Linked DNA regions of Arabidopsis thaliana. The protein of the gene in region 1 purifies or fractionates together with the protein of each later gene. This does not show direct contact. Each region holds a gene or a part of one and is shown in the gene's direction. Other genes may lie near its edges. The genes, in order: GIP1 and GCP4.

Region 1 (3,745 bases):
ACGTTATACTTTTATTTTCTCTCTTTTAATCAATATTTCTTAGTTAATGTTGCTTCTTTTACACTTGGAGTTTCGTCTTTATTTTGATTTATAAAACTGTTAATCAAATACCTAATTAAACCATTCAAAGATGTTATTAAAATAATTAATATCACAGTTTTACATTTCATTCCATATAAATAAGCAGGAATCTTATTGTTGTTCATCAATCAAAAACAAACAGAGCATTAAGCATATATTTGGCTATACTAAGGCTTTTTTATTTCTCAGTTTCTCATTATGCCTATCAAAAATGTGTTTTCACTCTTAGTGGTTCTATGCATCATAGTTTCTGTAAATGCTCAGTTACCTCAGTTTCCGGCTCCGTTTCTTTTTCCATTTTCGTTTCAACCGATTCCTGGAATGCCAGGATTACCTGATATAACGAAATGTTGGTCATCCGTGATGGATATTCCTGAATGCATTGCAGAGATTTCTCAATCCATTTTTATTGGCAAATTCAGTAATTTAGGTTCTGCTTGTTGCAAAGCATTTTTGGACGCTGAAGCCAACTGCATACCAAAAATTCCACTTATTCCGCTTTTCCCTCCGATGCTAAAAGAACAATGTTCAAGAATTGCCGGTGTAACTCCTCCTACACCGAAATAGAGTTTTAAATTATTATTTTTTAAATAGATAATTTTTTTTCCAATTTATTTCTTACAATTTTAGCTTACGCTACATGTTATACTCCAAAAAAATATCATATAAAGTAAAAACATTTGAGAAGTTGTATTTGGGTTCAATATTTACTCATTCTTCAATTCTAATGAATAACAGCTTGAAACATCGATTCTATAATTAACTTTGTCTTACAATGTTTCAAAACTTGGAATTATATTAGATAATTCCCTTCTAAATAGACAGTTGTGAGAATTAAATAATTTTTTACGAGATTTAAATTTTACATAGTAATCTGTATTTTCTAAATACAAATTTTAATCTTACACATTCTATAGATTCTATATAACATGCTTTTATTGATTACATATAATAAGGTATTTCTCAGAGTACAACACAAAGATAAGACAAAGACGACTGACGACATACAACATCAAGAAAAAGACGGACGCAACGGAGCCTCTAGATGCATATTGTTGTAAACAAATTGAACGATATAATTGAGGGAAAAAAATAAACTTAAGAAAATAAAAGAATAAACATATTTAAGTTATTAGAAAATATTAAAACACATATTAATATTTTTCAAAACAAAATAAAGAACTTATACTTCTGTTTTGAATATATCAATTTTAATAGAATTAGTTCATTAGTTCAATAGTTTAGTATATTAAATAAAAAATTTGAATATAGAAACATTATTTTTGACTTTATGTATATATTTCTTTTTCAATAAGGTTAGAAAAAATTTCTATTTATGTTTTTAAATATAAAAAAATTTGATTTGACATGTGCGAATATCTTATTAATAAATTTGACACGTGAGTTAATAATTTTGAAAACTCATTTCTTATATAATGAAATAAGCATTTGTTCGAGAAAAAAATATTAAAAACAAACATCTTCTATATGATTTATCTCAATTATAAAAAATCTGTTTTTTTCAGATGTTAAAAAAGAAAAACAATTGTGTCAGAGTTATATTATTTTCTTTTCATTAGTATAATTCATTAAAAAAAATTAACACTATCAATCTTAGTGTCGGAGTTATATTTCAAACATATTTTTGTTTAGAATATTAATATGATTATTGAAAGACAATAAACTTTTTTTCTTTTGACATAACACAATTTACATTTATTGAAAGACCTCCAAGTCCTTTCCCTTCGTCTCCCACTTCTCACTTCACACTGTGAGTCTGCGACTATCTCCAAGACCAAGCTTCATACTTTATTTTTGCAAATTCCGTTTCTAAACGTAAGTTTTCTTATCTTCGTTTCTATCAGATTACTCCTTAATTCTTAGTCTCGAAATAAAAAATTTGAAATTTATTCGATGTTATGCAAATTGCCGCCGACATAAAAACCCTAATTTCAATCTCATTTTTCATCTGAATTACATTTCTTTTGAATTGAATGTTTCTGGGTTGTGTTTTGGTTTTGGTATTAACTGATCTATTAGACTAATCCTTGTTCACCTATCAGATAATATTATTGGGCTCTGAAACAAATTTGACTCACTTTTGTGTGTGTGAGCATTGTATCTTCACTACAAAGCTCTAGCTTGAAATGTTGTTGTGTAATTTATAAGACTCTAGTTTCTAACTTCTTATGTCAAAATCACCTAAGAGTCTTTGACTTGGTTCTTGTTAGATCATAGTTCACTTACTTTTGTCTAATTTGGTTTGGTAGAAACTCTATAATTCACTAACTACCTTAGGACTTTAAAATTGTGGAGTTTAACAGGTGTGATCAGTATGGATGAGGAGGCATCTCGGACAGCAAGAGAGTCACTAGAGCTTGTGTTTCGCATGTCAAACATCTTGGACACGGGTTTGGACCGGCATACTTTGTCAGTTCTCATAGCTCTTTGTGATCTTGGTGTTAACCCTGAAGCTCTAGCTACTGTTGTGAAAGAGCTTCGTCGCGAGTCTATCCCCGATTCTGTCACAACCACACCATCTATACACTGATCAGGTATTGAGAATTTTCTCAGTCTAATGATGATTGACGAGTCTATGCCCAAGTCTACCTCTTTCTGTTGTTTTCAGATCTAACATATCGACCGGTCGAAATTTATGTTGCAGGTATGCAATGGATTATACAAGTATTGTGGTTGGTATGTGAATCTTGTTACTACTTTTTTTGTATCATTTAAACAAAATTTGTATGGATGAATTATAACTTCTTTTATTTGTATGAACCGTTATTTGAAAGCCAAAGTAGCAGAATGCAAAAAAAAGTATATAATTGTAATTTTATCTCTCAAAAGCTCATAGAAAATTCAGTGATCATGTGTCACTAAAGCAGAATGCAAAAGGAATTTGGGATCATCTGATTCACAACCCCTGGAAGGTAAAAACATTCTATGTATCCCCGAAGAGGGAAATCACACTCAATCAAAATCTCTGCACACCAAATCTCCGTTTTACATTCCTTAGTATAAGTCTTCCACCGAACTATCACTCTCCTTCCTCAGGCCAGGGTTTTGTCACCGAAATAAGATACTTAGAGGACGGTTCTTCAAGTCCTCTAATCGTGAACGTGCATATATCACCGCAGACTAGTTTCGAGTTTCAGAAACCCTCGCTGTCCACCATACGTTATTCTTTGACTCTAACAAGCAAACAGTAGGGCACAAACCAATAATTTTCTCGCGAGAAAATCTTCCAGTACATTTTGTTGGCTCCCAAGTCTGTGTCTTTGGGTCGTAAACTTCTCCATAATTCTCAGCAGTGTCATAATACTTACTGCTGATGCCTCCAAACACAGATCTTACCGTCGATAACATTAAAACATGCTTCTTCTCGAGGGACATGCATCTTGGGGAGTTGACGCAAATGATGAGTTTTACAACCAAGTAAATATCTGAACCAAGTGATACAACAGTCGAAGAACTAGGATGTTGGTAAGGAAAGTTAGGAAGTGAAGGGACTGGTATCAGTTTCTGGTTGGGAGAAAGGGAATGTACGAACCAGCCAGGTTTTTTATTTAAGTTTAAGCAAACATAGAGACACTTCTCCTTTTTTCCTATAAGGGATCTTGCGGCCTCGAGGTCAGGGGAAGCTAGGAGTGATCGGAAAGTC
Region 2 (7,088 bases), on another chromosome or scaffold:
TATTTTTTGTAATACTCTCTCAAACAATTTTTATTGATTAGAATCTGAAAATGGAAATTTGGCATGGAGATCTTTCATTTGGTAAAATATATAACAGAAATTTGGAATGGAATTTTTTATATAGATAACTAATAGTAATACGTGACAACTTGTTTTTAAAAAGATTCACCAGATAAAACCCAACATTTGGAAGCAACCTTGAACAAATCATGTTGTTTGATAAAGTCAACATGACTAAACAATGATGCGTCTCGCGTTAGAAAAATAAGAACTAAGAAGCAATGAGGCAAACAAATAATTTGCCAAAACCTTATTACGAGTTCTCACTTCAAATCAATGTACCAGAAGTTTTTTATTTTATTTAACCACACATGCATGTAGAGATAATTTAGCTCACTACGTACGTCTTTTGATTCTTGTTGAAGTGCAAAGACCGTAGCTCAACTGCGTCAAGCTCTCTGGCAAAATTGTCTGGTCTATAGTATCCGGTCTGAGGATCAGGCATCCACCATAACTCTTCTCCTCTCATCATTTTACCTTGAACTTGAGAGGTTTTTGCAATGTATGGATCTAACTCTTTTGCAGCGGTCTCGGGTCTAAAGTATCCGGTATCAGGGTCTGATGCCCACGATGGCTTCTCTTGACTACTTCCAATTGTATATGCCCTTTGAGAGGCTTTTGTGATCACAATGTATCTTCTCCTAGAATAATATTTATAAAAAAAAAAGAATTCTCATTTAGTTTACAACGCAACATATTCAAAAGAATTAACCAATATACAGTATTTTCTAAAACCATAAGGTTTATACAAATGGATAGACTTACATTCTGATTGTGTTGTTGATCGAGCGAGATAAACTTTTGAGATTGAAAAGTGATTGAGACATTAATCCTCTCAAATCTCCTATGAAGAAGATTAAGTGTAAGAGGATTTTTGTATAGACTATTTTATGAACGCGCGAGTTGGTTTATGTACGTTTGGAAGATATAGCTTTATATATAGGTATATAGGGAATTTGTTAATCATAACAATTTTGTTGTTGTTGGAATAAACTAATACTTTGACTTTGTAATGTTGATCAGACTTTGGAACAAAATAAAAAATTAAAGTATTGGTAGGTTCTGTTAAAAAAAAAAAAAAAAATTATAGTGTAAAGAGAAGTAGTAGTCCCTTGCTCGACCTGAAGTCAGATTAAATCATCGAAAAATATACAACCAGGACAATGACCTAATCATGCTTCAATTTTTAAAGAGTTTTAAGCGTACGTGCTAATTTTTAAATCAAATTTATTGATTTAATAACGGTGAACTAACTAAACATAAAACAATTTTTGAATTGGTCTATACATATTATGTGAAAAGGTCTGAGACGATCAAGATTCAATGGTTTCTCTGAACGGTCAAATTATTTGAAGGGTCAATCGAGATAATGGCTTTTCTTCGAATAATATAATTTAGCATCATTTTTGTTGGCTCAACTAGAAGTGTAGCAAAAAAGAATTTTGACTTAATCAAGCTTAGCTTAACTACCTTTGTTCCCTACAATTGGTCAAGTAAATTGTTTTTTTCTCCACTTGCCGGGTGCCGGTTAGTGGTTACACGAGCAAGTTTGGTTTCGACTACGGTTCTTAAAACATAGTCGGATTTTATTTTTTCTCTAATTCGGTTTCATATCGGATTTTTAGATAGAGTTTTGGTTTGGTTAACCATATCGAATTGGTGTTGATTGGAAAGACCAAACCGAATAAAGGGTCTTTCGAGTGGACCCGAGACAAGAGAAAAAGAGACTCTCTAAATTAGCAAAACACCTTTGTTTTCTCATGAAATTACACCATTTGCCACTGAACTACACCGGTAAACCAACAAGTCCGGCGACAGTGACGGCATTTGGATTTTCAATTTCCCTCCCCCAAAAAATATTTAGCAGTTTCGTCTTTCGTGAATTTCCCAATGTTGCACGAGCTTCTTCTAGCTCTCTTAGGCTTCACCGGCGATCTCATCGTCGACGAGCGTGAGCAACGGAAAACCCTAGGCCTCGCTTTCAACTCCGATTCACCTCTTTCTGATGAATGTACATTCAAACTCGCTCCTGACATCTCCTTCATCGAACCCAGCGAAAGGTTTAGTCTCTGCTCGCGCTGATCTGGTAAATTTGGCCGCTGATTTTGATTTCTAGTGACTCTGATGCGCTTCCTTGCAGGGACTTGATCGAAAGGTTGATCAAGTTAGGGTTCTACTATCGAGAACTCGACCGGTTTGCGAAGAAGTCTCGCAATTTGAGCTGGATTAGGTCTGTGACCAGTGTGCATCCGTTGGAACGGGCTGATGAATTGTCGAAGCAGAGTAGAGAGAAGAAGCCTAGCGTGTACCGTAGAGCCATTGCTAATGGAATTGGGGAGATTCTTTCGGTCTATAGATCTGCGGTTCTTCACATTGAACAGAAGCTATTGGCGGAGACTACGCCTATTCTGGCTACGGTTACAGAGGGGCTCAATAAGGTACATGTTCTAGTACAATACCAACACATTTATCACTTGATGATTGAGATTAGCATTTGCCAAATGAATTTGTGTTTATTGATAGTCCAATGCCATTTTCTGTCTAGTTTTTCGTTCTTTTCCCGCCCCTGTATGAGGTAATTCTTGAGATTGAGCGTGATGATATTCGTGGAGGGCAGCTTCTTAATGTATTGAATAAAAGATGTCATTGTGGTGTGCCTGAATTGAGGACTTGTCTCCAAAGGTATTCACTAGCTTTGTTCCTCAGTGGCTTTATTTTCAGTAAACTGAGATCATTTAGTCCAGCGTCACCACTTGTCAAAGTTTTTGTATCCTGCTTGTTCCCTTATCCACGTGCAGGCTTCTTTGGAATGGACATCAGGTCATGTATAATCAGCTTGCAGCTTGGATGGTCTATGGCATTCTTCAGGATCCTCATGGAGAATTTTTCATCAAGAGGTAAATTGTAAATCTACATCGTTTTGTCAATTTTATCTTGATATTTGCTGAGTGCCATCTCGTTTTTCTTAATGTCGTCATTAGTGGTCCTCATTATGTATTTATTCTGCTTAGGTATCTGCTGTATACTTGCATTGATACATTATGGCCTGCCGTCGTCTGCAGATGCACTTTGATTTCTGTTTATCTTCTCCAAAGAATGTTCAACTCATTTCTGGTTTGCTTGTAGGCAGGACGATGGTGATTTAGATCATCGCTCATCTCAGGAAGAAGTATCTGAAAAGTTGGCTCGTACCTCAGTTCATGAGACATCTTTAACTGATTGGCACTCTGGATTTCACATTTCTTTGGTATTCTCCATGCCACTTACACTTTTGATTTAGGTACTGTTACTATATTATTGATTTTTCTGTGCTTATATTGCAGGATATGTTACCTGATTATATTCCTATGCGCCTTGGTGAATCAATTCTTTTTGCGGGGAAAGCCATAAGGGTTTTGCGAAATCCCAGTCCTGCTTTCCAGTTCCAGAAGGACAAGAGTTTTCAGCAAACAATGCGTGGCTCCCAGAGAATTCGAGGATTTATGCATAGTGATTTCCCTGAAACAGAAACTGAGTTAGATGCAGATCTTACAGGGGGAGAGTTGCTTCCACAATCTGAGGCAGATAAGATTGAAGCTATGCTCAAAGATTTAAAGGTACTTTCTCACTGGACAGTATATCTTTGGTAAAAAGTATAACAATCTAAATAACTGAGTTGATTTTCGGTTATGCAGCACGCGATCCTACTGCTCATGCATAGAGATCATGCGTAGAGATAGTATATGCCTTTCTCCTAGGATCACATTAGAGCTCAGATTGTAAACTTAGATTTATACGTTTGTGTGCAGGAATCATCTGAGTTTCACAAGAGATCATTTGAGTGCACTGTTGATTCTGTTCGAGCAATAGCAGCCAGTCATCTTTGGCAGGTTTTCACTTGACAACATTTTAAACTTCAATCTTCTGGATTTATTTTTTTGGGTCACATTACCTTCCTTTCTTCAGCTTGTCGTTGTGCGTGCTGATCTCAATGGTCATCTTAAAGCTCTGAAAGATTATTTCCTCTTAGAAAAAGGAGATTTCTTTCAGGTAAACCACATAATCTATCTGTTGATGCTCTTAAATGAAAATTAAGGGTGATTAATGTCGCTCCCACTTGTTCATGTCCTCCTCTTCTTGCACTAGCCTCAGTTAAAGACCTGTGGACATTTAATTTCTCATCTCATAGACTTTCTGATTTCAGTGCTTTCTGGAGGAGAGTCGTCAGTTGATGCGTTTGCCACCTCGCCAGTCAACTGGAGAATCTGATCTTATGGTACCGTTTCAGTTGGTATGTGGTTACAACTTAAACAATTTCATGATAAAAGTTCTGTTCAGGTCAAATTGTTTTTGTAATGTTCTTTCTTTTGGAACACACAGGCTGCAACAAAAACCATTGCGGAGGAAGATAAGTATTTCTCTAGGGTATCCCTACGGTTAGTAACACATCAAATTCTTCTTAACGACTTTGTATTAATGGATTTAGTGTCGAGCCTTTGAGCTAAGTGGGACGCACATATTAATAACTATTTCTCCCAACTGTTCCTTAATTTGGCTATTTAACTGCTATTCTCACCAGGATGCCTTCATTTGGAGTCACAGTCAGATCTTCTCAAGCTGACATGGTGAGATCTAAAGTATCTCTCACCGGGAAGGCAAATCTTACATCAGACACCTCTGTGGATGGCTGGGACGCTATTGCTCTGGAGTATTCTGTTGATTGGCCCATGCAACTGTTTTTCACTCAAGAAGTGCTTTCTAAGTAATAATCCTTAGGCACTGCTTATATCCTTCTTTTCTTCTAATTTTTCTCACTTTCAAAGTTTTTGCATCGATTATACTATGAAATTTTTAGTCGGCTGTCTGCTGGAACTTGAAATATGTGATGCTTTCTCTGAGAGCTATAAACTTGTGTTAGGTATCTCAAGGTGTTCCAATATTTGATACGGCTAAAGAGAACTCAGATGGAATTGGAGAAATCATGGGCTTCTGTAATGCATCAAGATCATATAGAATCTGCTCAACATCGAAAAGATGGTTTAAACGGATCAACATCTCAACAAAGACGACAAGGAATACGACCCATGTGGCGTGTTAGAGAGCACATGGCGTTTTTGATAAGGAATCTTCAGTTTTACATTCAGGTAAAGACGACGTTTCCTAAGAATTTCAAAGTTGGTTATAAGCCAGTTTGTAAAACAAAAAACTTCTCATGTTTTGATTCTCTCTTTGTCTTAAGGTTGACGTGATAGAATCTCAATGGAAGGTGTTGCAAACTCACATCCACGATTCTCAAGATTTCACTGAACTCGTTGGCTTCCATCAAGAGTAAGTATATCCAATGCTCGTTGTTCTCTTTCAAGAGTCTTCATGCTACTTACTTGGCCTGGCATTTATTCTTCTGTGTTTGGTTCTCGTTTCGATTTTTTATTATTTTGTGAAGCAAGTCTGAACCTAAATCTTTTTCAGTAATTTTTCCCTCTACTTACCTACTGTACTATACAAATGCAGGTACCTCTCCGCTCTTATCTCTCAATCTTTCCTCGACATTGGTTCCGTCTCAAGGATACTTGATAGCATCATGAAACTATGTCTCCAGTTCTGCTGGAACATTGAGAATCAAGAAAGCAACCCAAACACTTCAGAACTTGAAAACATAGCTGAGGTGCGTTATCTTTTCACTGTAATACTCATACAAAGGTAACAATGGTCTCTCATAATTTTTTATCTTGCGGTTTAAGGAATTCAACAAGAAGTCAAATTCCTTGTACACCATACTGAGAAGCAGCAAACTCGCCGGGAGCCAGCGAGCCCCGTTCTTGAGACGTTTTCTTTTACGTCTAAACTTCAATTCCTTTTACGAGGTAAGGATTTCAATCAGAAGATTTAAGTTTTTCTCAATGGGAGCTTCTCACTGTCTCTCTTTCCTGGTAGCAGGCAACTGCAAGGGGCGTGTTAAACGTTGTCCGACAACGCCCAGCGCTTCCATTGTAAAATGCCAGACAGTCCTGGTGGAAGAATCTCGTTCCGAAGCTTTTTCAGACATGAGCTGATCCGAAGGTTTAATGCAACAACTATGACACGAGAAGATAGCATTTGTCTGATCCTCAAACCAGGATGACATGACGCCACCAATGGAATATACATAAATATATGTGGACAGAGTTCGTGCTCACACGCCTTTCCTTTGTAAGAATCTGTGTACTGTGCTCCGGCTTTCACAAGAATCTGTTTAGTGCTGTGTTTAATTCGTGCTTTATAGATGTAATACTCTGTAAATTATGTAGATGTGGTTTCTTTAATCATTTTTAACAATATGATAAGCTTGATGACGTGATTTGCAAAAATTTCTATAATCAAGAGTCTTCAGTTAGTGATTTATGAACAGTGAACACTGAACAGTGATGAATATTTTCTTCTTCAGTAAAAGAATAACGTATGACTGTAGCATAACACAAAACCGACAATGATAAAAGTTACAGGTAGACATTGACAAAAAAGAATTAAAAAATTAGAGGTAGACTAAATTAAGAAGATTATCAAATAACCTCTCTAAACTTGGAAAAATCAGGAGTTCTTATTCACTCAAACACAGTTGTGTCATCCAAAATAAATAAAAGGAACAAGACAACAGTTTAACCAACACTACAAACAGATAATGTAAATTCTTCAAAATGTCTTAGGCCAGAATCTGAAAATATTGAAGAAGAAAAACAAAGAAGAGCAGAGAACGAAGATAAAAACCCAGTAAGGACAAACTGGAAAACCCCCAGGGCTTCTCCGGAAGCAGACTTAACTTCAAGCTCAAAAGCATTTCCGGTGAACAATCGACGGGCCTGACTCATCATATTCTGCCTTTGCGATCCACATCTACAAAATTCAAGAACGGAAGACCGATCAGTCAGAGCTGCAGAGTGGAATTATTATGTTTAGTGAAAGGAAATTGATTGGATTATTATTCACCTGCTGGAAGGTACTGAGGGAGGCCAAGATGGATCCTCCAATCCAGACAGAGTATTTCCTCTCAGGAGGTGCAACGACTTTGATCT

Evidence for each region.
Region 2: the proteins of GIP1 (region 1) and GCP4 purify together in Arabidopsis thaliana (affinity purification with mass spectrometry, with the first as the bait; one study listed by BioGRID). This does not show direct contact.

What each region holds. Positions count from the first base shown.
Region 1 is NC_003075.7:6,037,290-6,041,034, forward strand, and holds GIP1 (AtGCP3 interacting protein 1), read left to right. Parts: upstream 1-1,765; 5' UTR 1,766-1,917; exon of another isoform or gene 1,918-2,405; 5' UTR 2,406-2,416; coding exon 2,417-2,632; 3' UTR 2,633-2,636; intron 2,637-2,746; 3' UTR 2,747-2,937; downstream 2,938-3,745. Other genes in the region: CRP4 (ECA1 gametogenesis related family protein), read left to right, coding at 280-648. UniProt on the Arabidopsis thaliana protein: Required for gamma-tubulin complex recruitment to the microtubule organizing centers (MTOCs). During mitosis, modulates gamma-tubulin complex localization, spindle stability and chromosomal segregation. Necessary for gametophyte development and embryogenesis.
Region 2 is NC_003074.8:19,917,127-19,924,214, reverse strand, and holds GCP4 (GAMMA-TUBULIN COMPLEX PROTEIN 4), read left to right. Parts: upstream 1-1,702; 5' UTR 1,703-1,950; coding exon 1,951-2,120; intron 2,121-2,200; coding exon 2,201-2,498; intron 2,499-2,605; coding exon 2,606-2,742; intron 2,743-2,858; coding exon 2,859-2,957; intron 2,958-3,186; coding exon 3,187-3,307; intron 3,308-3,383; coding exon 3,384-3,656; intron 3,657-3,848; coding exon 3,849-3,929; intron 3,930-4,005; coding exon 4,006-4,089; intron 4,090-4,243; coding exon 4,244-4,330; intron 4,331-4,419; coding exon 4,420-4,475; intron 4,476-4,618; coding exon 4,619-4,801; intron 4,802-4,957; coding exon 4,958-5,183; intron 5,184-5,278; coding exon 5,279-5,367; intron 5,368-5,550; coding exon 5,551-5,704; coding exon of another isoform or gene 5,705-5,743; exon of another isoform or gene 5,744-5,780; coding exon 5,781-5,903; intron 5,904-5,976; coding exon 5,977-6,033; 3' UTR 6,034-6,395; downstream 6,396-7,088. Other genes in the region: AT3G53770 (late embryogenesis abundant 3 (LEA3) family protein), read right to left, coding at 389-701, 826-887; ACT3 (actin 3), read right to left, coding at 6,844-6,909, 7,003-7,088. UniProt on the Arabidopsis thaliana protein: Gamma-tubulin complex is necessary for microtubule nucleation at the microtubule organizing centers (MTOCs).